Linked DNA regions of Rhinolophus ferrumequinum. The protein of the gene in region 2 interacts with the protein of the main gene of each other region in a pairwise test. Links are inferred from orthologs where the notes say so. Each region holds a gene or a part of one and is shown on either strand. Other genes may lie near its edges.

Region 1 (7,749 bases), on a different chromosome or scaffold from region 2:
GACTTACTCTTACTGTGCAAACTAACCTAAGAAGCTTGGTGGGCTAGTTTTCAGTGGCAGATTGGAGGAGGAGGAGGAAGGTGGACACTTTACTAGGGTACAAGGCCCTCCTGACCTGGGCCCTACTCACTCAATGCTATCTTTACACTTCACATACACTCCGTGCTTTACCCCCGAAAACTGTAATAACCTTTGTATTCGTGTTACCTCTGCATTCACCTTAATAATTCATATGTTGATTTTTGGAGCAAGAATATGTGATTTCCAAGGCACTTCTCTGAACTTTGTGTTCTAAGGCTAGTAGTATTAAGGAGTAAGGGCAAGAGTGAAGGTAGCAGGTGTCTCACCATCCCTCCATTTTACTGGCCTCCTCTAATCACTGTGTTTGTAGCCTTGATCATTACAGGTCCAAAGAGGTCACTAGATGTTTCTCTAGACTTTCTTGCATTTCACAAAGGGGAAATTGTGGGTTATAGGAGCAGCAGAGAAATTACTCTTCCTGATGTCCATTTTATTGCATCTGCCGTTCCCTGAATGAGCCATATTCTTTGAGTCTTTGCACATACCATTTGCTCCGCACAGAATATCCCCTTTTATTTCCCATTAGTGAAAGCTTTAAGTTTCACTTCCTCTGAGAAGCCTTCCATGACCACCTCTTTTACTCTGTGTCATTTGTATGTGTCTACCCTGTCAGCTTCCCTCACTGGCTGTGGACTCCTTAGAGACAAGGACCCACGGTTTCTGAATCCTTTTTGTAATCCAGCGGCTGTTGAATGAATAAACTAACGAGAGAATGAGGATGATAGCCAGGTGCCTGGGTGAGTGCTGGGATGGGGCCTCTGAGGGCAAGATATACTGAGCCCAGACGCACGGGGAAGCAGGGAGTGGAGGGCTGTCGAGGCTGGTACCTGCAGAAAGGCAGCCAACACGGCCAGGCCCCCTGGGCGCCCCAAGGCGTCGTCAACTTTGGCAAATGCAGTACTAAGGTGAACCACGTGGATCTGGAGAGGACAGGCAGGTAGGCGTGGGCAAGATCCCCTGCCCGCGCCCCATTTCTGGGGATCTTGCCCACGATTCATTTCGTCCCTCCGCCGACAACTGAGCGCTCACCTCGGCAGGGTAATGTTGGCCACCAACCGTGTGCTCCGAGCCCGGGCGACCAGCAGCCCCCCAGTGCAAATGCAACTGCAGCGCCCGGTACTCCCGCCCAGGACCCAGGGCCATCTCCATTCCCGGAGGCAGAGTCAGCTGCACTGCGTGGGGAGCGCAGGTGAATCAGACGCTGCCCCGCCCCTGAGAGCCAGCCTAACCTCCAAGCACCGCCCAGGCCGTCCCTCTTCCCTAGGCCCTGTCCCATTCCCAGATAGCCTCCGCCCCTCCCTGAGGTTCCGGGACTGCCTCACCCGTGTGGCCGTTGTTGCGCAGGTGCAGTTTGGGGCGTGACGGGAGCTCAAAGCCAAAGAGTTGCAGGGGTCGCAGGGCGGGGAAGAATACGGTGTGCTCTGGGCGGATATCTACCGGGGACTGGAAGCGGCCAGCGCAGGCTGGGGACATCTGGGGCCAGGGTGGGCCTCCTGTGGTGGAAGAGTATGGACAGGAAGTTTGGTGATAAGATCAGGAACTTTGAGGGACGAGCGGTAGAAAAAGTGTGGGGTGGAGTCAGAAGACATTGGAGCGGGAAGTAGAAATCAGGGATGTGGACAGAGACAGGTAGCGGGCGTTTTGGGGGCCTGGCAGATGTGGATGCAGTGGGTGGGACGCCCAGGACCTGAGTTCAGGGATGGTTGTGGGGCAGGTCAGAGCTGGGTGTCCAAAATAGGTCTGTGCAGGTGGTGGGTGTCTCACCTCCATAGCGCCAATGACTGTGGTCACCCCCTGCATAAAAGAGAAGGATAAGGAGGCTGATTTTTGAGCCCAGCCCCTCGCTGGGGCCAGATCCATGTGGGCCCCCCTCACTAACAGCGCTGCGCAAACGCAGGTGCCTTACAGGGAGGGGCACAGCAGGTAATAAATGCCTAAAGTGGGCCATGTGTAAAGCACAATAGAGTGCAGCCAAATTTGACACCACAGCATGGTGAGCCACACAAAGATCCTACTGGCCCTGCAGATACCAGTTGCAACCACTGTCTTAGTAAAGTGGGTGGGGGTCTCAGTCTCAAAGCCCAAATCAGTAGACCATCCTTTCTCCCCCACTCATCCCTCTTCCCTTTCTGGCCTCCAACTCTTTTCCCAAAGTTCGTAGCTTGGGAGTCATGATACCGGGTCCCCCTACCTGCTGTTTCCTTCTTCCTGTGCCTCAGTTTCCTCACCTGTGTACTGAAGATGAGGTCATCTCTACAAGCCCTTCCGGCTCTTCCTCTGGTACCCCCATCTTTTCTCTTGTCTCATACTCTTCTCTCTGTGTTTTCTCTTTCCACATTCCTCATGTCTATCTCCTCTCCAACCTTCTCCTTTCTTCTTTCCCATCTCTTCCTACTCACTTCTCTCCATCTGTGTCCCATTTTTCTCTCCCCATCTGTCCCCCTTCTAGCTCTGAAAGAGGTGAAGGATCTAGTGGCATGGGAGCCCCTGGGGTTGGGAAAGGCTACTGTCAGAGTACAGGCTCCTCTACTTCCCTGAATAATCCTTGCCTGGGATGGGGTTTAATGAGGAGAGGCACAAACCTCCTGGAGCCTAGATTTTGAGGGCTGATGATGACTTACCTTTGTTGTTCCTGTGATTATTCTGGGGGACTTCAGTGTCCCTGGGAGTCTCAACAGTAGGTAGATCCTCTAATTTCAGAGAGTCGTCTTCTGCTGATTCTGTCTTCATTCCAGGTGGGTCCTCCTCTCCAGGTGGATCCTCTTCACTGGACAGGTCCTCCTTGCCCAGTGGATCATCTTCCCCAGACAAATCTCCTCCCATGGAGGGAGTCCTCTGCATCCTGGGTAGACTCTGGGGTTGGGTAGGTACCAGGAGCAGCAGTAACAGCAGCAGTTGCACAGTAGGTCCCGAGGCAGGGGTTGGGATCAACAGAGGGAGCCAGGGACTGGGGCACAGGAGAGCCATGTGGCTGACTGTAGGATGTCCCGGGTCGGTGTGTACAGGCTGTACAGTGTGTACGGGCTGTACGTGCATTGGAAACAGGAGCTGGGTGGGGGAGGAACAAGCCTGGAGGGGAGCAGCCTGACTCAGAGTGCCCTTTTCTAGAAATGAAGCCAAAGTTCCTCAGGTCTTTCTGGCGCTGTGCCCCCTCCTTGATACCAAAGGCTAGATTGGGGGTGGAGTGAATGCAGGTATGTGTGCAGGCACAAGGTTATTGGGGTCATGGGCTCAGCTTGGAACCCAAGGCACCACATGGCAGCACAGGCTTTCCCTGGCACCACCCGGTTGCCTGCCAGCCAGCCTGAGCTAACCCTGGCCTGCTTCCCAGCCCCAGGCAGGGACAGAAAAAGACAGGGAGCTGGGGCCCCCACATCCTCTGGCTGAGAGGGGAGTAGCACATGTGTATTCCCTGCCCAGCTAGGAAGCAGGTAAAGGGGTAGGGCAAGCTGCTACAGAAGCCTGTGGGTGAGGGGGTGGATGAATGGGTAGTAGGAGGTGAATTTGAGTATGAATGGAAAACAGTATATGTATGAGAAGGATTCTGATGGGTTTAAACTACATTTATTTTTCATCATATTAAACCTCTGCTCAAAAACCTTCATTGGCTTCCCATTGCCTACCAAAGAATCTTCCATGTGCCTATCTTCTCCTGCTAGCTGACTTCTATGCCCCTTCAAAATCTTACCCAAGAGAACTTTCCATCTTATTTCTTACTGCTCTTCATACTAAGGCCAGATTAAACTATTCATTTTCCCCCCCAAACCTTTGACCACCTTTGTCATCTAGTTCTTGCTCCCAGGAATGCCAATCACCCTTATAGTCAACAAATATTTATTTAGCATTTACTATATGTCAGGCACTGGGCTAAAAGTGCAGGAATGAATGACAGCCCTTGTCCTGAGGAGCTCACTGTTTAGGGAGTGAGGGCAAACACTATCATAAGATTTAGCAGCAAGAGATGAATTCTGCCTCAGAAGGTAATACAGAAGTAAGCAAATTTGCTCAGGGTTGTGAAGAAGCAGCAGTTTAATTGGTAAAAACAATGGAAAGAATGGTATTCTGGGCAAAGGGGAGGCATCAAATATTTTGAACAGGAGAATGACAGAATCCAATTCTCATATTAGGACTGGGAGGTGGAGGGCTGTGTATAGAGCATGGATTGTAGGGGGAGAGTGGGTGAAAGGAGACGAAGAGTATGAGGACCCCAAGAATGGGCTTGGGGTTCCCACTCTCTGCCTGTTCATTTAACAAACATTTATTGAGCCTCCTCCAATCCTCCAGGTTCTGTTCTAGGCTCTAGGGGGATGCAGCACTGGACTGGAGAACAGCCTCCACTGTTCTGTAACTCACATTCTAAGAAGGTCCCTATGGCTTCAACAAACCAGCAAAGAGAGTAAGGCCATCTCAGGAGGTTCATACCTGGAACTGATGTTCAGTAGGTACACACCTGTATGGTTATATAGATTAATTAAATATATTGAAATATTTCTAATTTTGTTGGTAACTAGCCCCTTCCTCCAGGGTGCTTCTGGGACCTCTCCTGACAGCCTCATGATCTCTTATCTAAAGAGATAATGGCCGGCACAGGAGGGATCCCAAGACCCACCCAGATGCCTCAACCAGCTTCCACTCTGATAGTGCACCCACTACCATGTTAGTTTTACTAAAATATATATATATTTATATAGTTTTACTATCTCCCCTATCTAAAACCCTTCTATTACTCAAGACTTCCAGGAAGTCTTTCTTGACTAATTGCACCACCGGAAGAGATTTCTGGTGCCTCAGCCACCACAGTGCTTTTGCTGCCCTTGTTAATAACTTTGTCCACCATCTAATTCATATTAGGATGATTTATGACATTTTATCTGCTCTAATAGCTTTGAGTTCCATAAGGGCAGAGTTCAATATTTTGATTGATTGAGTCACTCTTTTATTCAACAACCATTATTGAGTATTTTCTCTGCAGATCACCTTGCCTGGGTTTGAGAAAAACCAAATTGATTAAGATGACGACCCTGCCCCCAGGGAGCTCACTGTCAATGACCAGTGTGTGTGTCAAACCACAACTGTTGCAGGAACATGACATCATGTTTGTATGGCATCCCAAATTATCTGCCTCGTCAGAGTGACTGCCATACTGTACACCAAAACTCGTATGGCTGAACAACAGCTGTCTCCAAGCAGTCACTTTACGAGGTAATTAGCCTACAGTCTAAGGTGCCATTTCTGGAGCCAAATTAAGAGCCGTTCATGCATGGCAATCTGATGCAGTGTGTACTCTGGATGGTCAGCTCATTGTCTTGGGCAGCTGTGTGGTCAGCACCCTGGCTGGACCCTGACACATGAAAGGTCCATAGTAATATCTAAATTGGATGGACCTGGACAAGATGGAATGTGGTAACTTCTAGTTGAGGTGGAAGACTTCATGGGGAGCGCAGGGGACAGAAGCACCATAGTAACTGGAGTCTGTATGTCAGGACATCTTTTTCCAACACCAGTCCCAGCTTTATTTCATTTCCCTCTTTCCAAATGTTCTGACTGTTTCTTTTTCCCTAGTAGGTCTCTGTCAGGACCCCTTTGTACACATCTCTACGGCACTCTGTATGTCCACACATCTCCCCGCCCTCTCTGATGCTTCTCTCAGTATGTCAGAGTCCAGATCTCTGTCTAGGTACAGATCTCTCTTTGTTACAGCTTTCTAATTTTCCAAATGCTGTTCTGTATGGTGCTCTTGAGCTCTCTGTCTCTGTGTGTGACTATATCTCTGGTCTGGGTGGGGAATATGGACTCTGACCCTGCATCACACCTTTGCAGCTGGGAGTCTGCCAAACCCCCAAACAGGTTTGAGCTCCCAGAGTCTTTCTTGTTCCCTGAGCTTCTGGGACAGGGTGTACTCAGAAGTGACTGACTTGGGCACCCTCCCCACCTGGTACACAGTCTTAAGGTCAAGTGTTTGGTCATTAGTGTCTGTTTTTATCCCAGGGTTGCAGGGCAGAAAGAACAAAACAAAACAAAACCTCTACTCCCCAGCCATGGATTGGAAGCAAAGACAGAGCAAAGCCCTTCTGGGGCCTTGAGGCTGACCTGTAGTTCTGGCCCACCTCACCATCTGTATTAGTTTCCTAGGACTACTGTGACAAGTTACCACAAATTGGGTGGCTTAGAACAACAGATTTTTTTCTCTCACAGTTCTGGAGGCTACAAATCTGAAATCAGGGGTTGGCAGGGCCCTACTTCTTTGGAAGCTTCTAGGGTTTCTTCTACTGTGTTTCCCCGAAAATAAGACCTAGCCGGACCATCAGCTCTAAGCATCCTTTGGAGCAAAAATTAACATAAGACCCGGTTTTATTATACTATAAGACTCGGTCTTATATTATGTAATATAAGACCGAGTCTTATGTTAATTTTTGCTCCAAAAGATGCATTAGAACTGATGGTCCGGCTAGGTCTTATTTTTGGGGAAACAGGGTAGCTTCTTGTGGCTCCAGGCATTCCTTGGCTTGTGGCTGCATCACTCCAATCTCTGCCTCCAACTTCACATGGCCTTCTCCTGTCATCCCTGTCTCTCCACTGGGTGTCTCCTTTAGGAATAGTCGTCATTGGATTTAGGGCCCAGAATGATTTCTTCTCAAGATCTTTAGCTTAATTACATCTGCAAAGACCCTTTATCCAAATAAGTTCACATTTACTGGTTCTAGAGGTTAGGATATGGACATATGTGTACGGGGACCACCATTTAGCCCACTACGCCATCAGCCATTTAGAACTGAAGTGGATGCACAGGATGGGAAGAAATGGGTTTGTGTTGGCAACTCTCCTGCCTTCTGCCCATATCCCTCTTTATACTCTTTGTAGGCAGTTTCATCCACTCTCATGGCTTCTATAAGTTGATGATGTAAGAGACTGTTAGCATGTAAGAGACTGTTAGCATGAGAACTGCTATCTTCAGGTCAGGGTTAACAGCCCCTAGCCTGAAACAACATAATTATAAAATTCCAGGATGTGGGCAGTTGCAGCATGGCGACTAGAAGTCCTGTAGCTTATCTTATACTCCTGGTCTCCTTGTCCTGCAGTAAATCTTATACTCTTTGAAGCTATGCAAGTCCTGTAGCTTATCTTATAGTCCTGGTCTCCTTGTCCTGTAGTAAATCTTATACTCTTTGAAACTATGTAAGTCCTGTAAGTTTATCTTGTACTCTCAGAAGCTATGGAAGGCCTTGAAAATGCTATATAACCCCTTGGCTTTAAGTGTTTGGGGTCCTTGTTAAAAACCCGCTGCGTCGGGCAGAGACGGGGACCCCAGCCGGCTGGTAATAAACCTCGCTGTGCGACTTGCATTATTGTGCGGGTTCTCTGTCTGTCTGAGGGGGACAATTCCGGATCTTAACATTTGGGGGCTCGTCCGGGATGCCCCCCCTCAGGGGAACAGACAACTCCCGATACCGAGGTTTACATAGGGAACCGCGGAAGGAGGTTTGGCCACCTCCAATAGGGGAGGACTGAAACAGGTCCTCGACCGGAGAGACTGAAACAGGTCTCTGCCCTGTCCCAAACAGGGGAGGACTGAAACAGGTCCTCGACCGGAGAGACTGAAACAGGTCTCTGCCCGGTCCCAGTTGAGAATTCTCACGGGAAGGAAAGTGCAGGTTACGACCCTGGAGG
Region 2 (7,900 bases):
CCACCTTTACAGCCCGCATGTACGGAGAGTTCTCCCAGTAAAAGCACTTCCTGGTAAGGAACACAACACAGAAGCTTGGCTGACTTGTGCCGGCCCAAGTTCCGGCTCCTACAGCTGACAGAGGAGCCCTCACAGCCTTCCCATTTCCCTAGCCTGTGTCCTCCTCTCTATCAGGGTGACAGCTGGGGCATCCCAACTGTCAGGCTGGCCCTTGGACTAAGAAGGAGGGCTAGTGGCTTGGTAGGACCTAGAATCCGGTTTATGTCCATCCACATGGTTTGTGAGGCACCTTTCACAAAGCCCATTCTTGGGGCCACCAAAGCTAATGGACAGTGGGGTGATATTCCCTGGTGGGCTCTGGAGGGCAAGATGCAGACTGTCCACCTCTCGGTTCCCCCATTCTGCGTCCAGGTCGATGGTCTCTCAGCGAATGCTGTGCCAAGGTTTTTGGCAGGGCTGGGCGTGGGGGTGCAAGTAGGCTTAAGAGAACCTAGTCCAGGGATTCTGCTCTGGGCTTTGGTCCTCCCGTCAGGGCTCCGGGGAAGGCATCTGGGCCCTTCCCACCCAGGCGCCCAGCAGTCACTGAACCCCTGGACATGACCGTGGGCCCCCGGCCAGCTGTGTGGACACAGCCCGGGAGTCTGGCACTGTGCTGACTCCACCCGGTGAGCTGTTAGCAAGTTCTCAGCAGACGTGCGGGTGCTCACTGATGCTTTTTATAGCAGCTCCAGAAGATATCGCAGCTTGAGAACAGAAATGAAAATATGTATCCTTCAGGTGCCAATCTACTGTACTTACAGTTTTACTATTTCTCTGCAGGGGGCCCATTAATCCTGCAACAGTGAAATTCCTAAGGAAATTAGTTCCCTCCGGTTGGGGTTACCCTCAACTGGTCTTTGGGGGCAGAGTGATTGGAATTTAAGAGTCTCTTAAAAGAAAGGAAACGTTGGCCACTTTACCTGAGTAACACACTTTCCAGTACAAATGCTTCGTCGTCCATTAAAGCTGGCTCACTCCTTCCCTGTGTGTCTCAGCTCCTGGGGTGGGGTTTACAAAGACCCCGCCAGCTGGGGGTTCAGTTCCAAGTGCTCCTCCACTGGCTGTCACTCCTTTCCTCTCTGGGTTATATGTGCCCACCTGGAACTCAGCACTGTGCCCTGCCTGCCGTGGAGGACACCACCTGGCTGGGCAAAGGAATGAGCCAGGCGTCATCAGAAGGGCACGGCTGCAGTATTTCCCTGCCTTTGCAGGAGCAGTAAGTGTTAGCTGTCATTACCCGGGGAAAACACACACACACACACACACACATTCCTTTAGAATGGGGCAGTTTGGACATAGGCTGGCATTCCTTTGCGACCTGCAGCTTTGTCTGCAGTTTCGCTCTGTCAGGCCAGGCTTCAGCCCCGAGGACCTAGAGCCCCAGTTTCCTGGTCCCCATGCTCCCGGCCCCTGAAGTGCCATACAGCACCCTGGGGAAACCTAATTGTCCTATCCTTCTCAGGGCTGTGCTGCTGTCCTAGGAAAACTGTTCCTGGTGCCAGACCAAGAGCGGCCTGGGGACCCAGGAGAGGCCCCTGCCCAGAGGGTACTTAAGATGAAGTGTCACTGGGTTCCAAAGGGGTTCCCCACCTCCTTCACTGCTCCAAATTGGAAATAAGATGTGGCTAAACGATGCTTACATATGGAGTCAGCAGAATGTCGGTGCCTGGGATGAACCCACACTGGGGACACAGGCCCAAATCAGCCCCTGGATCTTGGATTCCAGTGGTTTTGAGCTTTCAAGCACTAATAGGGGCACCAGGAAAAGCCAAGTCCAGAGTGTAACAGAAGGAACAGGCCAACCCCATTTAATATGACAATGACAAGTTTTCTCCTCTGGGCCTGAACAAGAGAAAGAGGACTGGGCCCTCCAACACTGGAGCCGCATGTGGGACAGGGTGGCGGTGGCAGTGAGAAGAGCTTGAAGCCCAACGGGAGGGCCCTGGGGTGAGGCCTGACAGTCACTCGCTGGCCCTTCCCGGCTGTGGGCCTGGCCGGTTTCCTTAGCTGTAAAGGGGGGTAGGCACTGAGGTGTTTACAGCTGAAGGTAGCACAGAATGCTAAATGCAGGCACGTGTGTGCAGCTGCTTTGGAAGGCTGAAAACCACCACATACCTGTGTATACACCTATGGACTTGGAACTCAGGAGCCACAGCTCCCGACATGCGGCGTGGGCTCAAAGCCGAATGGAGTAGTCTTGGTTGCCTACGTGAGAGCATTTTCAAGCTCAGGCGTCATCTGCTGATGTCAGGCCTGTTGATACCAACAGTGATAACTGCAGAAAGGGCAGGGGGCAGGACTGGGAATGTCTGGGAATGTTCCTAACTTTTGTTTTGAAGTAGGGAGTGTGCTCTGTAGCTGGTGTATGCTGCTTTCGGCAAATTCCATTTAAAGGAAAAATCAGGATTTTTAAAACAGCCACATTAGAAGGCTGCTTACTGTTTTGCTTTGTTTTTTAAAAAAGATCCATATACCACATTTCCCTGGTGCATTACAATTTCATTATTTTTTAAATTACAAGGCCAGTTCCACTCTTTGAAAAAAATGCCCATGACACTCAGAAGCCTATAATAATGTAAAGCATGAAGGTCCTCCCTTTAAAACTCCCCTATTTTCACTCTCTGCAGGCAAGCTCTCCTACCACTTTGGGGACATCCTTCTGAAGGTCTCTTCCTATGCTACATTCAGCCGTGTATAGTTATATATTTGTTTACATGTAATTCTGTTAAAGATGGTTATTGGAGCCTAATCCTGTTTTGCAACATGCTGTTTTCCCCCCATTGAATTTTTCCTCCATAGTAATCTCTAGGTTTCCTTTACTAAAAAGAAAAAAAGAAAAAAAAAAGAGCAACTAACCTTTTTATTTTAAAATAATGTGGAGTCATATGCAGGTATCAGAAATGATACAAAGAGACCTGTGTACATTTTCTCAAAAGATAACATCGTGCAAAACTGTAGTAGTGCCACACCCAGGATACTGGTATCCATATAACCAACCCATTCTTTTCAATTTCCCAGTTTCACTTGTACTTGTTTGTATATATTTTGTTCTATGCAATGTTATCGCATGTTTGAGTATCTACCACCACAGTCAGGAACAAACAGTTCCTCATTGCTCTCCTGTTGCATTTCAAACACTGTAATTTACAATTGTCAGTAACACCTATTCTCAGGGTGAGGCACACGTGTAATGGGCTCCTAACCGGTCACTGTCAATGACCAGAACAGCGCTGCCAAGGGAAAACCTAGGGTGAGCCGCAAATGAAAGTCACTACATAACTAAATTTCTAGCAACCCCATTAAAAATATAAAAAGATGTAAATTAAATTTAATAACATATCTCACAAAACCCAATATATCCCAAATGTTATCATTTCAACATGCAATCAATTAAAAATTACTAATGAGATAGATTACCTTTTTTTGGTACTACTAAATCTTTGAAACTCCGTGAGCCCACTTTTCCAGTAGCTGCGCGTGGCGAGCGCGCACTGAGCACGACTCTGCCCGGCTCCAATGCAGACACTGGGGTACGCACATTCCTGCCTGTCTCCATAACTGAGCTGGTGGAGGAGACAAGCACAGTTCCAATCCAGTGAGATGTGCACGTGGGAGAAGCGGCACGGTGCCCTGAACACGAGGGAAGGCTCCATCGGGCCTGCCCTCAAAGCCTGTCCAGAACCCCAGGGCTGTCCAGGAGGAGCCCCTCCTGTCTGGGTGGGAGCACGAATTTTCAGTGACATGGGAGCTACAACAGGAGCGGCGCTTTGGAGAAAAGGCCAGGTGTGGTGTGGGGTCCTCCAAGAGGAGACAGCCCTCCCCAAAGCAGATGGTGACTGGGCTCTGGGGGCGGAGGGACTTGCCGTGGAGATGGAGGGCATGGACGTGACTCAGGCCGGAGAGTGTGTGCGGGGCATGACAAGTGTGGGAGGACACCACCTGGAGAGTCAACATTAGGGGGATCCACAGGGAACCAGGGAGGGGCTGGAGGTTAGAGAGTATGCGGACCTGGAGGCCCGAGTGAGGGAGGGGCAGGGGTCCTGGAGCTGGGCCGTGGTGCCAGGCGATGCTGCTCCGAGGTGGGGGGCATCGCGGGGGCACAGGTGGCGGGACACGCGGTGGCTCGGGTTCGGGTCCTTCAGGTCCGAATTCAAAGGTCTTTGTCAGTGTTGAGGTTCCGAGATGGCGCAACCTCTCTTTCCCTGACCTCCCATCCATCCTCACCTTGGTGTAATTTCATTTTAGGTTCGATTTTTGTTAAGTGCAAACCTGACTTCTCTTACACTCACATCACACGCACACCCTTCTCCCAGCTGCTGTGGGAGATGCAGGGAAGGTACGGAGCAGAAAGACCCGCAGGCAGACTCCTGGCCGTTGGGAGCCGGGAAGCTCAGGAGCAGTGCGCAAGCTCAAGCGGCCGGAAGCATGTCCCCAGGTGTCCTCGTCTTGGCTGGTGCTGGCGCAGGCGCAGGCGCAGGCGCAGGCCCGGGGCGGGGCGGACCCGGGGGCGGGGCTTTCGCGCACAGCGTCAGAGGCCCCGCCCCCCGGGCCGCCGGCGCTCGATTGCTCTTGTCTGGCGGCGGCAGCATGGCGGCGGGAGCGGCCGAGACGGCGGCGGTGGCCGTGGAGGTCGGCTCAGCCCAGCAGTTTGAGGAGCTTCTGCGCCTCAAAGCCAGGTGAGCGGGGCGGCGGGCGGCAGGGGTGAGGGGCACGGCGGAGGCCGGCCTCGCGGGACGGCGCGGCCCGGCCTGGGCGGAGCGGCCGGCGCGGCTCCCGGGCCCTGGCTCCTCACCGCGGCGGAGGAGCGGGGTCCGGCCGCACACCCCCGGCGCGGCCCCTTCCCGCGGTGTGAGCGGCGAGCGGCAGAGGAAGGCCGGGCGGGGCCGGGGAGGCTGCCCGGCTGCAGGGGGCGTCTGGAGCGCGGTGTGCGCCGCTGGCAGCGCTCACACTTAAAGCCTCCCGGCGGCCGCAGCCTGAATTTCCTGTTTGCTGAGCTGGCCTGCTGGGGTCCTCCAGCCCTGGGAAGACGCCCCGACGACGGCGCAGGGGTGCGCAGTCCGCCTTTGGGGACCAACGGGCCCCGTCGTGCTCACCGCACCTCACTCTGCCGGGTCCTCCCTCCCGGGACGCCTGTTCTCAGCGTGTCCCTGGTGGTGCGGTGGGAGCTCCCGCGCCCACTGCCCGGGAGCCAGTGCCCTGCTCAGCCTCTTGGTGGCCGTGTAACCCCGGGCAGGTGTCATAACCGGGCCTCAGTGTCCGCAGCGGTGAAATGGGTCAGAACAGCGCCCACCCCAAGGTTGGGAGCACCGAGTCGGATGCTGCGCGTACCGCACCGCACCGCACCGCCTCGCGTGCACGAGCAGTCAGCCTTAGCTCTCGGCATTTTCTGGATGGAGCGGAGGGCATGGAGCTGGCACGCAGCAAATGCTTACGGACCTAAATGCGGTAGAATTTTGCTGAGGAATGTGAATTAGAGACAGGTGCTACTCTGGGCGAGTAGCTCAGGTAGCGTGTGCAGGTCAGACGGGGGACGTACTGCCTTCGTGGAAAATGGGAAGGGTGCGAGTAGCCTTTCATGGTCCTTGGCCTTTCATGCTTTACGAAGGGGATGGAGTTAAAAGTGTTAACCACAACAGCTCTTTTGGCGTTTCAGGGTTACCTGGAAAATTGTTTGTTTAAAAAGGAGAGGGGATGACGTTTACTCATTGATGAAAAGTGGGTTCTGATTCAGCCAACACTCCACACATCTTAAAATAGCGCAATTATGAAGTCACCAGAGGTGGCCTCCTAAAATGAGCAGGGCTTGTGTGGACCTGCCCTCAGTAAATGAACTTGCTACCATCTGGAAGACCATTTTGCTTTTTGTGTATTTCATTTTTTGAAATATTAAGGTCCTTAAGATATCACTATCAGGAAAAGTTTAAATGGAAGTACATTTGGGTGTATTCTTGTCACTGGTCTGTACTTGAAGTGACTCCAAAAGCAGTGCACCTTTTCCATAGTGAGAGTTTCATTGGGCACATGGGAAATGACGCCTGCTATGTGGGCAAGGAACAAATCTCTGCAGCTTTTTGTGAAAATCGAAGCATTTAAGAATTATTAAATAGCATTCGTTAATGTAATAATTTAAAGTCTACTTCCCAAATCTTCACTTCTCAGTTTTAAAATTTCATATGAACTGAAAATTTTTCTTTGCTTAACTCAATCACATGTTTTACATGTTAATGAAACCTCAGGTGGTCTGTACAGTGGGGATATTAATATCCATTTGCAGAGTAATTAAGGTTTTGCCTATTTGTAAAATGTTTAATAGAGTCTAGCATGTGCTAGTGTTTAAGAAGTGGTAGCTTGTGTTATCTGCAGATGAATAACTGCAGGAGCAGAACACCTGTAATAATAGAAACAGCCATTAATGAGCACTAATGATTTTACTGATGAAGAACCCAGGTTCATTGCATTGTCTAAAATCCCATCAATCAGGATTTCTCTAAAGGTTTTCCTTAAACAGTGCACCCTGCATTTTGGGCTATCCGTGAAGATGGAGACAGTGCTGTTCCCTGTAAGCCGAGAGAGGATGATAAATAGCACTTATGTTTGTTTCAGGTTTATGTCCTTACGATATAAGGCACCATGTACTGAACTGGAAAGTGGAAGCTACACATCTAGATATGAGAATATTGCAGATGATTTACAAGAACAGTGAACATTAATGTCATTCTTCAGTGTTTTCAAAGTGCTTTATAGTTTTGTTTGATCTTCCCAACATCCCAGGATTTTGGTTATTGCTGTTTCACAGAGGTGGAATTAAAAGCCACATTAGTAGTAATGAAATTTAAGTTGTATGTGTGTGCTTTTTTATTTTCTTTTTTGCATGTCATTTCATATTGTTAAAAAGTTTGGTAATCTATTTTAATTTTTAAAATACATGTAATCATATTGTGAGGATTTTCCCATGTCATTAAAAAAATCTTCAACATACGATTTTTTTCATGGCTTTATAATATTTTATATGACTTAAAAAAACTTGTTGAACAATACATTTTTGCAGTTATTTGCTATGGAAAATAATAGGAAAGCATTCAGTCACATAAACCTTTGTCTCTAATACTTTCTTTGGATACTTGAAAGTGGGAAGTTTCTGACAGGTTCCAATTTAATTTTAACCAGCAGGATATGAAAGTGCTTGTCTCACTCTGTCTTTCTTGTCATTGAATATTATTTTAAAAATATTTTTTCGATCCAGTAAAAAGTGGTATCCTAACTTTTAAAAGATTGAGGTATTAACTTACATACTATAATAAAATGTACAGATCTTAATTGTTAGATGTGATGAATTTTGACAATTGTATGCACACAAATGACCATCATTCAAAACAAGGATAGAGAGCCCCAGAAAGTTCTTTAGCCCCTTTCCAGGACTCCCCAGCACCGATCTGCTTTCTGTCACTGTAAACTCGGTTTGCCTGTTCTTGGACTTAATGTAAATGGAGTCACACAGCTCCTGGTCTTCTTTGTCGTTTTACTCAGTGTATTTTCGAGACTCATCCATGTTGTTGCAAGTAGCCATAGTTGGATTCTTTTTATTCCACTGTATGAACATACAACAGTTTCTCTAGGATTTGCCCATTGTGTCCGAAGCTGCTATGAACATTCTTGCACAGATCCTTTGGGGACCGTTTTCCTTTTCGCCATCCCTTAGGCTTTGGGGCGCCCCTTCATTCTCTCAGAGGCTCTGAGTGATGAGACTGGAGTGGGCAGAGACTCACGCAGGAGGGTTTTGAAGGGCCAGGTAGATTACTTCTGACCTTTATCCCGTCAGCCAAAACTCACACCCAGGGCCCCAAACAACTGCAAGGAAGAC
Region 3 (8,023 bases), on a different chromosome or scaffold from region 2:
TACTCAGTTTACTATAGTTTCCTATAACATTTCCAAGTTGTTACATATTTTTCAATAATACTTCCCACTAAGTTTCATATTGCATTTATAAAAAGTCCAAATAAACACTAGTGAATTAATCTTAGACATTATTAACAGTATTTGCCACTATAATTGCTAAAACTAAGAGAGAATTCTAGCATAACCAAAAAAAAATGACCAATCCCATTTTTTTAAAATAACCACATAGTATCAAAGCCAAAAAAAAGAGAATATTTCCTATTATTTACAGGGTAAGTGTAGTTTCCACTAGAAATTTACTGGGGCTAACAGCCAATATAAAATCTGACATGTTTTTATTACCAACCCAAGTTGTCAAATAGGCTTGAGTTTGGGGCTTAGAACGGCTCAGGAAAATATGACTGTTAACCAAAGAACCTGCAGGGACTCAAATTAGTTTTAGTCTTTTCCTCACTGGACTGGAGTTTAACAAGTGGAATGAAAATATTAGTAAGTCTGTGTTTCTCTCTTATCAACCCCTTGAGTTTACTTAGAACTATAGCAACTAAAACAAACTAACCAGCCTGGGAATTTGAATTTTCATCATCAATATTACCAAAATGGAAACTATTATTTAAGAGAGACTGTGTGTGCGTGTGTGTGCGTGTGTGTGCGCGCGTGCACATATATCCTCACTGAGCCCTATACAAAGCATATTCAAGAGCCAGGTTCTGGGAGAATTTAGTATTCTGCATGTCAAGGTCATCTACCAAAAAGAGAGAGAATAGTATCCGGGGTGGGGGAAGTGCTGAAGAAAGCCAGGCAGTGGTTTTTAAACCAGATTGCCTAATATACTGCAGCCACCAGGCAAGTTAATTCCTCCATCAAGTGAAACTGACACTGGGACAAAAGAGAAGACACTGAGATCCTGGTCCTTTTTTCTCTGGGGCTCTGGACCCTACCTACACAGCTCCTTTTCTCCCCATCATTGTCCCTCCTTAGACTCACACACTTAAACTTTTTGAAAATGTCTTGAAATGTGAAAACAGGCTGACATCTATTTTCATGTTAGACAATGAAATGTAGCCAACACATCTGGGCACTCTTAACTGGTTTAGCAGTCCAGAAAGTGGGGAGTGGGAGCTCTGCACCTCCTCAAGTATTTCACACTCCCTTTTGGGACTTAAGACGAGCCCCACAGGACAAAAAGGAAAGACTTATTATTAGAAACACTATCATAAATATAGGTTAAATTAAAAGATTTAGTTCAATCATCAAATTCCAAAACACAAGATAAATGTTTGAAGCCTAAGAAGGATAAGAAGTATTACGTGCCCCATTTACAGTAAATGTTCAATAAGTATGTGTTGAATTATGTATTTAAATACCAGGCCTTACTGGATTCCTTTTCTGCTTACTGTCACAGGAGACTTTCCCTGGGAATGTAAGCATTTCTGAAGTAGAGCATGGGAAGGGAACAGTAAGTCCAACAAGTGAACAAACCCATCCCTTACCATATGAGGGGAAGCCTGGAATAGAACAAGGCAATTCATTCAAAGCCAGCATGTAAAGATAGGCGACAAAAGAGTATATGCTTAATGTGACACAGCATACACTTAACCTCCTACAAAAATGACTTGACCTTGCTATAGGGCAAAGCAAACATTAACGTTCCCTCTTTACATGGGGCACTTCACAGATTCAATGAATGGCTCTGCAAAGGATCCTTTCACTGAAGTTTACCCCTTGATTATTTAGGACATAATCAAGTATTTAGGACGAATACTTTGCAAGTCTTGAGATTGCGCACCACATTATCACAATAACTGACCCAACAAGAGATGCAAAGCACATCTAAAATTTTATTTGCTTCTTAATGCAGTCCAACAGTCATTTGCTAAGTTACCCAAAGGACATGAACTATAATTCAGTTCAAATGTTACGTGTGAAAGACATTAAAAGCTTTTCTTAGATTACGTCTTCACAACAGAAATTGCAAATATTGATAAAAAGGAAATGATTTCATAGACATTCTTTTGTGGAGCAAATGCTTCTCTCAAAAGTTACATAATTTCAGGGCTTCTGCAAGATAAAAATAATGGATGCAAAATACTGCAACCGGATTTCTCAAAAAGTAGGGATGTGAATTATAACTGGCAGTCCCCGACCAATTTCTAACCTCCAGCAATCTGCGTGCAGCTCGCATTTCTCAACCGCGCTGTTTATTACAGCGATAGCCGTTTTAATCACCTCCCAGACTATCTCCTCGCACGCCCTCCCCCCTGCGCTGGGGCGCGCACAAGGCTCGAGAGCAAGCCCCGGGAACTCACAGGCTGGCCTGTGTGAGCAAAGGGAAGGAAATGACACAGGCAGGAAAAAAAAGCAAATCAAGGAAAAGACACAACAGCAGCTGGGCCTGCACCAGCCTCCAGCCGGGGCCCCACACTGCGCTCTCGCTCCCCCGCCCTCGGGCTCGCGGTCCGGCTCGCTGCGGCCGGAGCGGGCTGACCCGCCGAGCACCGGCCCTCGATCCCGCCACCGCTTCCTCGGGATGCACCCGCTGCGCGGCCCGGAAGGAGGCTGCCGAGTGGGTTCCGCCTGCCGGGACCGCCCCAGCGGGCCGGGGAGCCAGAACCCCCGCCCGGACCGTGGAGCTACGAGCCGGGCGGGCGGGCTCCGGCGGTCCGCAACCCCGGCCCGGCGGGCTGTCCATGCCTGTCAGGCGGCGGCCCAGGGTCCTCCTCCCCTCAGCCCGGGGCGGGGCGACGCGAAGTAGCGCGGGCACAGGCCGGGGCGGTGGCGACACTCACCCATGGTGGCGATGGCGGCGGCGGCGGCTCGGGCCCGAGTGTCACCTCCGCAGCCCGGGCTGCATGCCGGGGGCCCGGGCGGCGGGGACGGCAGCGGGCCTGGCTCCGCGCGGGGGGCGCGGGCTGCCCTCGGGGCCCCCGCCGCCTCCCCAGGCTCCGGCTCCGGCTCCGCCCGCGGCCGGGCGCTGTGGCATGGGCAGGGTGGCCCGCTACATCCCCGGCGCTCCTCTGCTCGGCCCAGCCCGGCCTCGGCGGCGCCGCTCGGCCCGCCCGCCAGCCAGTCCCTCAGTCCCTCAGTCGTTCCGTCCGGCCACCGTTCTCCACCTCAAGAACGCTCCGAAAAACAAACCGCTGGTCGCGCAGCTCGCCCCCTTGCCTGTCACTCAACCCAGCGTTCGCCAATCCAAAGCATGTGCTGCACCATCGTACCACCCCCACTCACTTCACCAGCCAATAACAAGGAGGAAGTCGCTGCCCCCCCACCACCACCCCCTCCAACGCTCTCTTCCCAACACCCTCTCAGCCGCCAGCTAATCATCAGCACCACACGATGAACCAATCCCGCCTACTCTCGCAGGATGCCAATAGGCGAAGCCAAGGCAGTTTCCGAGAGCTATCTACCGACTGCCAATCATCGAAATAGCGCCCAGTTCTCTCCGCTGCTAGCCAATCACGTAGAGGAATCTGAGCACCCGCCTCTGAACATCCCTCACTGGCTCATCCTCTCTCTCCCCGGGAGGTGTTGGTTGTTCCAATCACAGCTCGCGCGTGAGGCTCCGCCTGCGCTCCCACCTCCTGTCAGTCACCCAAGGCTCCGCTGGTGCGCGGGCTGGCGCGGTTCCCTGCCGGCTACTTGGGGGCTGCAGTTAGGAATGGAAGCTGGAGGGGCACTTCGGCCTCCCGCCCTCCTGGGTCTCCGCGGTCCCGGCGGTCCCTGAGGCCAGCGTCCTGCCATATCCTGTGCCCACACAGGGTGTGTAATAAGCAGGGAGGGTTTTGGCTCTGTGCGCTTCCCGGCGTGTGGCCACTTCTGCCGCGGGATCCCTTGGCTTGTCCTGCGGTCCAGACGCTACGCTTGCCCGGAGGCAGGGGGAGCCTCACCGCTGGCCGCCTTTTCCTGGGTCTCATACCTCCAAGGCCACACCCTCCGAGGGGCTGGGATAGTGCTAGAATGTGGGTCCTCGGAAATCTGGGAGTTCGTTGCTGGCCAGGGCCAAACCAGTGCCAAGCCAGAAAGGTTCTTTCGGGGGAAAAAAATTTTTTTCTGGTTATAAAACCAATACAAGTTCTCTATATAAAAACTGAAAGAAAAAAAAAAATCCCACCTCAGAGGTAATTTTATCTCTTTCCTACCCAGATTCACAACGTTTGACAAAAATGGCTTCATATTGTTTTGTAGTATGCTTACATTTTATTAAGTGTTTTCCCGTGCCACTGAATATTGTTCCAAAACAATTGTACTGGCTGCATATTTCAAAATAGAGGGTGACCATAATTAATTTCCCTTTCAACATTTCGTACACCTCGATCTTCAGATTCCAAGTCCACCACAATTAATAAAAGCTCCCTTCCTCTGGTGTAATATAAATGAGATGCCAGAATAATCTTCCTCAGATGCATTTTTCAACTGTCAACTAAACTTTTAGTGGTGGCTTTGCCTTGGGTGTCAAATCTCTGAAGAATTGCCTTAGACTCCACTCTTTATTTACATTCCCACCCCAGTATTTATCAGGCCCCTCGTCCAGTTAGTTTATTTTTTTCCTTCAACAAGCTTTTAAGTCTGTCATTTTCCCTCTTGATTAGATCCCTACCCAGTTTATTGTAGTTCCTATAATAATCTTTTTTCTGAGAAAGTTTTCTCAACTGTTTTTTTTCCATTATCACCCCCCCAAAAAGGGAAAATTTCAAATTAATTAAATTTAAATTCTTCCTAATGAGAGAAATTAAATACTAAGGAATAAGATTTTTGTCAGGTGAGGTTGCGCTTTGAAGGCCACACACCATTGTTATTATCTACATTTTTTGACCCATTAACAATCACTTTTCACCCGTTTGGGGATAAAACCCTGTTGAGAATGAATATAATAGGCATATATGCTAGAGGTCATAATCTGCCAATCTGAAGCTAAAACCTGACCCTTAATTTTATTAACCTGAGATAAATATTTTAAAAAGACATACTTATGTCAGTAGAAATCTAGTACTCACTCATGGCCTGTATGTGAAGGTCTATTCAGCAGTTTCTCTTGGAATGTCTACGTAACACACATCTCCAATTTAACATGTTTTACACTGAACTCTTAATTATTTTCACCTCCCCCCAAAAAACCCTGCTCCTGTTTTCCCAGTTCTTAAAATACAAACCTAAGAATCTGCCTTGATTTTACTCTTTCCCTCACACCCCTATAGCCAATCATTCAGCAAATCTTTTCAGCTCTTGTTTCAGTATTTGAACCAAACCACTTCTCACTACTACCACCCTAGTCTAGTCCAAGCCACCATCCTCTGTTGGACGACTGCCCTAACCTCCTGACTGATCTCCCTTTTTCCTCTGTGGTCACCCAATAAATGATTCTTCACATAGCAGCCAATTACTGTAAAAAGTAATTCAGATCATGTCACTCCCCTGCTGTCAACCTTTCAATGGCTTCCCATTACATGTAGAATAAAATCCAAACTCTGTCATGGCCTTCCGGACCCAACAGGAGCTACCCCCGCCACCCTCTCCTACTTCATCTCTATCATTCTCCCTCAATCGCTGTCCTTCATCCAAACTGACCTTCTCACCATACTTTGAACCTACCAGGCTCGGGATCTTTCACCTCAGGTATTTGCCATTTGTTCTGCCTGGAATGCTCTTCCCCAGGATGTTACAATGACTAATTCCTGCATTTGATTCAGGTCTCTGCTCAAATGTCAACTCTTAAAAGAGTTCCTAAGCCTCCCATCCAAAATAGCCTCTCCCCCCTCCACAATCATTCTGTATCTCCATATTCTGCCTTATTTGTCTACATAGTGCCTGAATTTTATACACATACACACACTCTTGTCTTTCCTCCACCTACATAAACTGTGTAGGATCAGGGATTTTGTTCTGTTCACTGCCCTATCACCAGCACTTAGAATAGTACCTCGCACATGATAGAGAAATGCAGTACAACTACTTAAGTCTTTAGCTGAAAAGAGCCTTCTGATTTTCCACTTTTCTGGCAACTGCTTTCTTTGAGGGCTTCGTTTCCATTGGCTGTCCCTTAACCAGCCATCTCAATCATCCCACGCTGCAGTTACCACATGGACTTTCTTCTGAGCTATCCAGAGCCATCATCCCATTGAGTTTCCCATAGGCACCTCAAATTCTACAGTTCAAAACTGAATAAATTATTTTCCTCCTAGTTCTGTATTTCCTCTGCCCATCTTCAGTTCTCCAATTCGATACCTCTGAGTTGTCTAATTTTGAGAGCTCTTCCTCTCCATTCTCTTCCCCCAGTTAATCCTGACCATGTCCTCAATCTGTCTACTTCTCTCGAATCCCCAGCTTCATCACCCTAGTTCAAACCACTTAATCATTTACTTGGATTATTTAGTGTAATAGCCTCCCGATGTGTGCTCACATCACAGGGTGATTTTTTCTAGAACAGATACCTGATCCTGTCATCCTCTGCTTAAAAACTTTAGTTTCCCATCACCTTTAGGATAAGTCAAATATGTGAATCTAGCCAGAAAGGCCTTTCAGGACCCAAGCCATTCCTTCTTTAGCCACAAGTTTTTCCACTTCTCACCTCTACCAACCCCATCATTCAAATTCTATGTTCTGGCCACACGGAACCACTGGTAGGCAGTTCTTCAAATGACTCTCTCTTGCCTGTACACCTCTGAATATGCTATTTTCTGTTTCGAACAGTCTTCTCCTCCACTCTTGCCCCTACCCCCATTCTTTCAGTGAAGAGCTAAGCCTAAACATCACTCCCTCCAGGAAAACCTTCCAGATACCCTCAAATCTGGGTACCACACAGCACCTAGTACTTTCTTCATCAAAGCACTGTCCTACTCTATTGTAATTGCCTTTAAGTAAGCATAAAGACAGAAACTGGGGCCGGCCCGGTGGCTCAGGCAGTTGGAGCTCCATGCTCCTAACTCTGAAGGCTGCCGGTTCGATTCCCACATGGGCCAGTGGGCTCTCAACCACAAGGCTGCCGGTTCATCTCCTCCAGTCCCGCAAGGGATGGTGGAACTAAGATTGAACACGGCACCTTGAGCTGAGCTGCTGAGCTCCCAGATGGCTTAGTTGGTTGGGGCATGTCCTCTCAACCACAAGGTTGCCGGTTCGACTCCCACAGGGATGGGGGGCTGCGCCCCCTACAACTAGCAATGGCAACTGGACCTGGAGCTGAGCTGCACCCTCCACAACTAAGACTGAAAGGACAACTTGAAGCTGAATGGCACCCTCCACAACTAAGACTTGGAAAAAAGTCCTGGAAGTACACACTGTTCCCCAATAAAGTCCTGTTCCCCTTCCCCAATAAAATCTTAAAAATAAAAAAAAAGACAGAAGCTGTGCCATTCAAATTGGCATGTCTAGAATCTTCCATAGTACATTCAAAAAACAAATATTTGTTGAATGAATAAGTGAACCTCAAATGAGGATGTAGCAATTGAATGTAATTTCCACAAGTGTGCCCTTGTAGCTATATATTTTATTCTTTTTTCTATGCTGTTGCCCTCCTATCTTCATTTTCCCTGTGAAGCTTCCCAGTTGGGCCATACCTTCTCAAGTCCGTTCCCTTGGTTTCACACTGAGTAGATGCCCCTGGTGAAGCACCTGAGCCATATCTGATCCCAAGAATCACAACCTGCCCCTAGTGCGCAGGACCTCCCAAAGTGCTGGTCCCATTAAGCAGCCCAATCACACACTAGCTACACACTTTCCTTTTTTCTTTTCAAGAGCATAGAACTTCTTGGACACATGACAGGGAACAATAAATACAAATGAATGAATGATCTTAGGGGACAGCTCAATGAATTTGGTGTAAAAAAAGAAACCAACAAACCTGATTTGATGAAAATTATTTTAATTCAGGAGTCTACTGGAATATATTCAAATTACCAGTTCAATCAGTTAGTTTATCTGCATTATTGAGGAATGACGTACACATCATAGATTTTTACAATGATGATGTTTTATATGTTATTGACATTTACTTGGAAAGAAAAATTGCTTTCCATTTTGAAATCCC
Region 4 (7,575 bases), on a different chromosome or scaffold from region 2:
TTTGCCCCTCCTGCCCCCCCAAAAGGCATAGATCTTTTGGCCTTAAAATTTTATTTCAGAGTTAGTTGTCCATGAATCACAAGCTCTCTGACAGTTACCACGATTACCTACAGCCACCACATATTAGAGCAGCTGACAAAGCCTTATACACCAAGTCCTATGTGGGTTACCGTAAGGCAGGCTTTTAGAATCATCTTAGGTAGAGAGTCTTCAGGAAGGAGTGTGGAAAAGCAGGAATCTGTAGGGTCCTAGGCACACAAAGACAGCTACTACTTTTGGGTGCTAAAGATATGCACCAGTACTCTTGCTCTGTCAAACTATTCAAGGGTCATTCAACTTTAGCTAAGTATTTCCTTCATTCACAGCTCTGGGACACACAAAGCCATTTAAAGAATCTGAAGCACTGAATTCCTATTTGAAACACGGTTGTTTAATGGTGATGCCTGGGATGCCTTTTTTCACTGTTTTCCTGGAGAGCTTCCTCTCTTGTCCTCTTGCCTCAGGACTCACAGTTCAAGCATCCCTTCCTCCGTGCAGTCTTTCCTAATTCCCTAAAGCTGATTTGGGTTCCCTCCCCTGTGCTGCCTTTAACACCTTTTGCATACTTCTAGGACAGCACTTACCACATCATGTAATTATTTGTCTACAAGCTTGACCAGCCACAAGCTCCTTGATGGCAAAGATAGTTTTATTCATCCCTGACTCCACACATAATAGGCACACAATAAACATTTGTTGAATGAATTAATGATGAATGACATGGGAAATTTTAAAGAATGGTGGCCATACCTTCTGAATCCCAGACCAAAATTACATTAAGGATTAGCACTGAAGACTAAACTCCCATCATACATTTATACTACCTATACTATTCTGGGTCGGAAAAAGAAGCCATAGCTATGAGAAGATTGCTCTAATACGTAGTGATAGCCATTGCCACGTCACCAGTCAAGGATACCAGTGCTTGCCGTACTAAGAATGACCCAACACGACAAATGAGTGAACAGAGTCAAACCTAAGAACATTTCTGAGTTTCAGGCTCATTCTTTTGCCTCTGAAGAATACGAGCAATGATTAATTAATAGGAGTCCTTGGAAAAGTCACTATGTCCACTGCCACGGATCCTCGTGGCTGATTTCGATTTAATATGCCCTCTGATGAAACATACAGGAAAGTTGTTCACCTTATGACCAAATCCAAGTAAAGTTCTGCTAAGGGACAGGCATCTGAATTAAGTCCTTCCAGAACCCGGCCATGTTGTACATTAGCATCTGAGTCATTCCTTATTGGCTTAACTCATCTCTGAAGAGATACAGGCAAGGCAATCAAATGCTGCTGTCTCAAATGCCTCTCCCTACAGCAATCCTGTACCACGCAAGGCTACTGTGCTTTCTGGCTGCTAATAACGCACAAAAGTCTAACGTGATCCTGTGGAAAACAAAGACCTAGATTCCCTCAGGGATTAAATAAATTTAGTCTACTTTTGTATTCCCAAAGATGCTGGGCGAAACAAAGTTGAAGAAAACAAAGTTGAAGAAACCAACACCCAGACAGCTTGAGGGGATGGAATGGGATTTGGCCTCCGAGGAACTTCTGCAACTTGGTGTGATGTGACTCTTAGCACATAGAGAATGAGATACGCAACGTTCAGGGCAAACCCGGAAAACTGTTTTGAGGCAAGTATTTAGCTCCTTGCATGTTATCATTCCTACGAAGCCAAGAAGCTCCAGTTAAATTAATTTACGTCTCTTGAAGAGACAAATAAATTTGTTTGACCCTAGGCAAGAGCATTTGCCAAGCCAATTTCTCAGACTAAGTGTTTGAGTGTATTTCTTTCTGCTACTACTGTCTTACATAACCTCGCTGTGACACTAACACTTGCAGCTACATTAGTCACAGCTTAGTCCTTCACAAAACATGTGGTCCCATTACCCTCTTCCAGGAAGGGAAACTGAGTCATAGCATATTGACTAGCTTCCCCAAACACAGACTTAGCTTGTCATGAGGCCACAATTGAATCCAGGTTGCCTTTCTCCTGTTCCTCTTTTCATGAATAAATCTTAGCATGTCCACCCCTGCTGCTCTTTTTCATTCAACCTAAAAGGACATCATTGCTTTCTCGAGAGGCAGAGATAGGCACACTTGATCCTTTGGAGCCAACAGGAGCCTCTAGAACTCCTCTTTCCCAAGAAAGAGGAAGAAGAGGAACATGGAGCAGAGGAAGGGAGGATTGGAAAGAAGTGGCTCCCCATACCAGGACTCACCTTGGAGCTGAGGTCCTCTCGGCGATTTCCTGCCTTACTCCTGCGTAATTTGATGGATGGGGATCGCAGCAGGTTCTTGATGCGGCTGGTAATGGTTGACCCTTCCACAGCCATGACAGTACCTGGCCCAATCTTGGGACTTGTCTCAACAGCAGCACTGCCTTTCCACGCCAAAGGGTCTTCCAGTATGCCCTCTCACTGACCTGAGATGGATGGTAGAGGCCACCTTACTTTCTGCCTAGCAGTGTCTGCAGCTCTTATCTCTAGGTATTGCCCTTTCCCCTCTCCTCGTCCCCACCTTCAAGCCCTGTGCGGTTCCTTTCAACGTTTGAAGGACAGACCCGTGAAAAGGGGGGTAAAAACTCTGAGCTGCAAAGAAATGACAGGCCCATGCCGGCCAGAGGCGTTTAAACTGGAGGGATGGATGGGATCTAGTAGGGCTAATGGCTGGTCTGGTCACCGTTAATTTCAAAGTGCTCCCATGGCAACTGCAATGTCCAAGGAAGGAGGCCACCGACGAGTCCCTCCGGGGGCCTGGGCACCTGCGCTGGAGGCCGCGAGGACACTCGGCGTGACGGGGCTCGCTGTGGCCCCGCAACCCGCTCTGCCTCGGGAGCCTCCCTCCCCCACCCACGACCCTCTGGAGCTCCCTGTCGGCCCCCCACAGGGGCCCTGCACCTTTCTTTTTCACCTCCCTCAGAAGCCCCTGCTACTCGCCAGCGCCCCCGTTCGGACCCAGCCTCACCAGCCCCGGGGCCCGAGGGCCGAGCCGCTCACAGCGCCCTCAGGCATCGCGCTCGGCGATTTCAGCTCCACAGTCGCAGCAGCAACAGCAGCAGCAGCAGCTATGGTGGCACCAGCGGCTCAAAACGCGAACTACCGCCTGGGCCAAGTTACGGGCTGGGTAGGCGGGGCCGAGGCGAGGAGGGCGTTCCCAGAGTGGACGAATAACGTCTGTGGGGGCGGAGCCAATGAAGCGCCTAGGAAGCTGAGGACCTGGGACTCGAAAACCACGGATTCCTCACAACGTAGTCGCGGGTATCGCTCTTAAAGGAAGATCTACAGAACATGGCTTCAGAATTGAAAGAACCAAGCCTTTTATGGTATTATGAGACCTGGCCCCCCAGAGTACTGCATTCCCCGGGGCCCCAAGGATAGTACCACGCCCCCAGGGTGCCACAGTTGGCATTTGATAGGCCCGAGGGACCAGAGCTGAAACTAACTCCTAGCTCAGAATTACAAGATTGAGACACAGCCATAAGTCTCTGCTCCCATCGACCCCAAGTGCTGGGACTTAAAGCGGTTAGAATAGTTGTTCGGCAGCGCGTTAACCTACGTATAAATGACTCTCTGGCGTAACTTTTTCGATTGCTAAGTGTTATTAACTGGGCAACCTGATTGGCCATGATGGAATGAAGGGGAGGGAGATGATTGCCTTGAATAGAGCTTTAGGCGTATCGGGGAGAGCAAAGACAAGTGAATGTGCCTACGGGACAATTTGTTTCCTGGTTTCTTTAGTCTCTTATGTCCCACCGCGCTCTCTCACCCAGTTAAACAGGACTTTGTTGCTCCAGATCTTTTCCTGTTCCTGTCAAAATTTACTCGTGAAACCTTTTCCCTAGTACTATTTTAGCGAGGTCACTGTCAAGCTTGCTGATACTAGATTTAGTGGTATAGTTTTTCTAGCTTACGGGGGTTGGGGGCGCGTTTACAGTATTATTTCACAGGTGTCACAGCCTAAGAATTTATTTTCTAAGCCTGATTTTCTGCCTCTTCGCTACTTCAAGAAATTACCTTATGAAAAGGTTAGCCTAAGCCAAAACACTGCGGCCCAGAGAAATAGTACAGCGATGTAACTGTCTCACCCTACCTAGATCCTTGGAACCCCTGGGGGATGTTAGCAAGAGGGAAGGACCCCTAAACCCATTGCTGTGCATGTCTTGTACAGCCAAGTGGCAAACAGCTTTGTGCTTGTGTGTATTGTACCGTGTTTCCCCGAAAATAAGACCTAGCCAGACGATCAGCTCTAGTACGTCTTTTGGAGCAAAAAATATAAGACTAGCAATAGCTATCAGTGGCATGAGGTATCCCCTTTCCTTCAACCATGCACTGCAGATGTAACGAAAAGTGGAATTTTCATATTTCCCAAATGTGGACGAAGGAGGCAAGAGCCATTAGGCACCACAGTATGATATAGGGGGTTGGCTCTTTCAACTTGCTAGTTTGTGATTTTTATCTCAATAGGGGTAGGAGCCAACATAACACTAATAAATGGTGCCACCTGGTGTCCTTACCCGTGTGCAGCATTCCCAGAAACTGCCATCTCCATCTTGGAGTTGTCCCTAATTCGCTCCAGATTGTTTGTGTCCACTAGTGGTTTTCTCACTCCTGGCCAGGTAAATGGGTTTACAAAGTGTCATTGGTCATTTCCTGTCCAGCACTATACTAGTTTGTCCCCTTAGAGAAAATGTTCCCCAAATTACTCTCATCTGAAGCTGAAGCTGCAAAGGCAAATTCAAGTTTCTGCTTTGTCTAAGATGATTTAGGTGAAGAGCAACTGAGAACAGTGTAATGAGATAAGAATTCTTAAGTCTGGATATTTCCAGTCTAGGGCTAAAACCACATTTATTTTTAATTCTTCACAACTGAGTCCAACCTTTATTGTCTAGGTATTAGGCAGCCTCTGAAGTGTCAGCATGGGAATAGGCTGTAGGCTGTTTCCAAGTTTCCCCAAGTTTCACGAATTAATTCCTCAAAAAACAAGTCCCAGGTCCAGTGTGAACAGAAGCCTCATTCCCTTTTCTACAAATTAAATACTTGCCATCCCACCCTCCAAAATGCAGGTGATCCTTGTATCAGTATTTCACCATCAATATGCTATTTCACTTTCTGTTCTGCTTGTATATTTCCTAAACATATATACATGGTTGTCACTCAAAAATACTAGATATCTAGGAAAAGAGGTATATATATACACTTGTCTGTTTTGCACTATGATCATTAGACCAGATTTGGAAATTCACCCTAGACTTAACATGCCAATATATGTGATTGTAAGATCCTGGAAAACTAACAAGCTAAACATGTTTGCTCATCAATTCAAATATTTATTGAGCACCTTTACATGCAAGGCACTGTAGGACAGCTGAGACCAATGCTTGCAGTTGGAAACAGGGTATCGCAAAACAATGCTTCCAAGACTGCTTTCCTATTTAACAAAGTGTCTTCTAACAGCAGAGTTTACAATAGAGAATTTAGTAAAGCTCAGATTTGTCTCAAAAGTCCCAGCTCGTCCGATTGTTTAGCTACCTCCCATTCCACACACACCTCCATCACTATTATTCAACACTTAGGCATCTGTAGAGAAGTTCAAATTTAATATAGTACAATCATACCTCAGTTCAAAAGTAGTACACATCAAATTATTTCCCTCTAAATTTCAAAAATGCAGATTGATCTTTCTTCTCCAAATGGCAGTGAGTCTGTTATATGCATTCCTTAGGTTTAATTTTCTCTGCATCCAGCCATTCATGTTCATGTAACATTTCATTAGAGATAATACATGAAGCATTGATGCCCTTACAAGCACTTTCTTCAAAATCAATTTTGTGCAAGAAATGTATTGATTCTTGGTTATCAATCATTCTCTATAAAAGTACCTGAAAATGTGCCTACTTTGTGCATTTCTTTTTTCTTTTTTTTAATCTTCTGGGAAGAACAAGGATTATCACCATTTTTTTAGACCTGTCTTCAAAGTGCATTTACCTCTCAATTCACCAGATCCCGTTCTATTTGAATATGTCAACCAGTATACTTAGGGGGGAAAAATATACTACTAAACCCTGCCCAAAATTATATATGAGTATGGATTCTCTGCTTTTCTTTTGTGTTCAAAACATTTTCAAACGTGTTACTGAAAGGCCTACCTTCACGTAGTTCATCCATAATTCTGGGGGGATACCTGCATTTATTATAAAATTACACAAAGTAATTTGTATGAAGTTTATGTAACTGGACTTGATCTGTGACCTTAGAGTAGTTCAATCTAAAGGACTCCTTTAATAAAATGTTTTTGTAAATTGTGATACTAGTTAACATATATTTGCTTTAAGAACATCTATTGTCCTTACCTGCTAAGACTGTTTATGTCTTGTTACTCAGGGTAACGGGTATATTACCTTGCACACATTGGTACTATGTGGCTAGCCTTTCTTCATTGTAGAACAATTTCTTGAGACATACTCTTGCCGTCAAGTTGTACAAAATTTTGAAGTCTCCACGTAAAACATGTTTCAAGGATTAGAACACCAAAAACCTTCCTCAAATGGCATATTGGCAACTGAAAACAGTAAGGAATTCCTATGATAAAACAACTTCAGTGGCACCTCTCTCTGATATCTCAGGGCATTATGATTCTCTACTCCAACTCAGCACAAACCTCCCAACACCAAGTTCTGCTTTAATTATTATAACAGATTTATTTATTTCAAGTTTATACATTCTGCCTTCCACTCGCCAAACTTCTTCTGTTCTTAGGTTTCTAAAAAAATAGTCATTTTTCAAAAGCAGAAAAGGAAAGATATATATTTAATATACAAAAGAAAAGGCTAAATCTGACATAATTATATTCTTAAAAACATTCCATTTATTTACAGATGTATAAAAAGGCGAATTATTGGTCTACTGAGATCATGCTTCTTACAGAGTTAGGGTGAGAGCTCACTATTCTCCCGATTCCTCAACTCCTCTCACTCAACGACATCTTTCATAATCACACATGTAATTTTCATAGATCAGTTTTTCCTGGGGTAAGGTTAAAGGTAGGAATTTTTGGAGATTTTAGATTTCTGTCCAACTGCATGATTGTTCTGAAGACTGAGCCCTCCTCAAAATAGCCCTGATAACTTCCTAGTTCTAAGAGGTCTTGAAAACACCATTATCTTGGGGGTTTGTAATGACATCTGCAGCCTTCCTTGAACACCGGGAATCATCTCTCATTTCCACCTTTGTACATCTCTCATAAACAGAGTCAAATATCTTCCCATAAAGAACTGATTATTACCTGTTTGTCTATAAAAAAGGGAAGAGTGTTCAGAGCAGAATGGTCCTTCTTTTCCTGAGGATTATTCGCTCACTTGTCTGTTCCTTGGCTGACCCTCAAAAGCCTAACAAGAGCCTTGGGAAGTCAGGAGGAAACATGAGCACAAGACAAGCAAGGAAATAATGGGAAACTGCTATACCTGGATTAAAGTACTAGCATCTCCAAGGACAATTAGTAGTGGGGAAGACAGGCGCTGGACTCCTTGGCTAA

The links. The genes of interacting proteins can lie anywhere in the genome.
Region 1: the proteins of GLRX3 (region 2) and CA9 interact in binary tests that used the Homo sapiens proteins (3 or more experiments, as listed by UniProt). The two-hybrid records come from large-scale screens. The link is inferred for Rhinolophus ferrumequinum from reciprocal best matches to the Homo sapiens genes GLRX3 and CA9.
Region 3: the proteins of GLRX3 (region 2) and MAP3K3 interact in a two-hybrid assay, tested with the Homo sapiens proteins (2 studies listed by BioGRID and IntAct). The link is inferred for Rhinolophus ferrumequinum from reciprocal best matches to the Homo sapiens genes GLRX3 and MAP3K3.
Region 4: the proteins of GLRX3 (region 2) and MAPKBP1 interact in binary tests that used the Homo sapiens proteins (3 or more experiments, as listed by UniProt). The two-hybrid records come from large-scale screens. The link is inferred for Rhinolophus ferrumequinum from reciprocal best matches to the Homo sapiens genes GLRX3 and MAPKBP1.

The regions. Positions count from the first base shown.
Region 1 is NC_046295.1:51,859,621-51,867,369, reverse strand, and holds the start of CA9 (carbonic anhydrase 9), read right to left. Parts: upstream 3,135-7,749; 5' UTR 3,118-3,134; coding exon 2,703-3,117; intron 1,876-2,702; coding exon 1,846-1,875; intron 1,575-1,845; coding exon 1,404-1,574; intron 1,254-1,403; coding exon 1,111-1,253; intron 1,002-1,110; coding exon 909-1,001; intron 1-908. UniProt on the Homo sapiens protein: Catalyzes the interconversion between carbon dioxide and water and the dissociated ions of carbonic acid (i.e. bicarbonate and hydrogen ions).
Region 2 is NC_046299.1:2,007,077-2,014,976, reverse strand, and holds the start of GLRX3 (glutaredoxin-3), read left to right. Parts: upstream 1-4,564; 5' UTR 4,565-4,626; coding exon 4,627-4,715; intron 4,716-7,900. UniProt on the Homo sapiens protein: Together with BOLA2, acts as a cytosolic iron-sulfur (Fe-S) cluster assembly factor that facilitates [2Fe-2S] cluster insertion into a subset of cytosolic proteins.
Region 3 is NC_046304.1:42,259,613-42,267,635, reverse strand, and holds the start of MAP3K3 (mitogen-activated protein kinase kinase kinase 3), read right to left. Parts: upstream 3,135-8,023; 5' UTR 2,794-3,134; coding exon 2,790-2,793; intron 1-2,789. UniProt on the Homo sapiens protein: Component of a protein kinase signal transduction cascade. Mediates activation of the NF-kappa-B, AP1 and DDIT3 transcriptional regulators.
Region 4 is NC_046289.1:63,620,285-63,627,859, forward strand, and holds the start of MAPKBP1 (mitogen-activated protein kinase-binding protein 1), read right to left. Parts: upstream 3,135-7,575; 5' UTR 3,010-3,134; intron 2,468-3,009; 5' UTR 2,379-2,467; coding exon 2,265-2,378; intron 1-2,264. UniProt on the Homo sapiens protein: Negative regulator of NOD2 function. It down-regulates NOD2-induced processes such as activation of NF-kappa-B signaling, IL8 secretion and antibacterial response. Involved in JNK signaling pathway.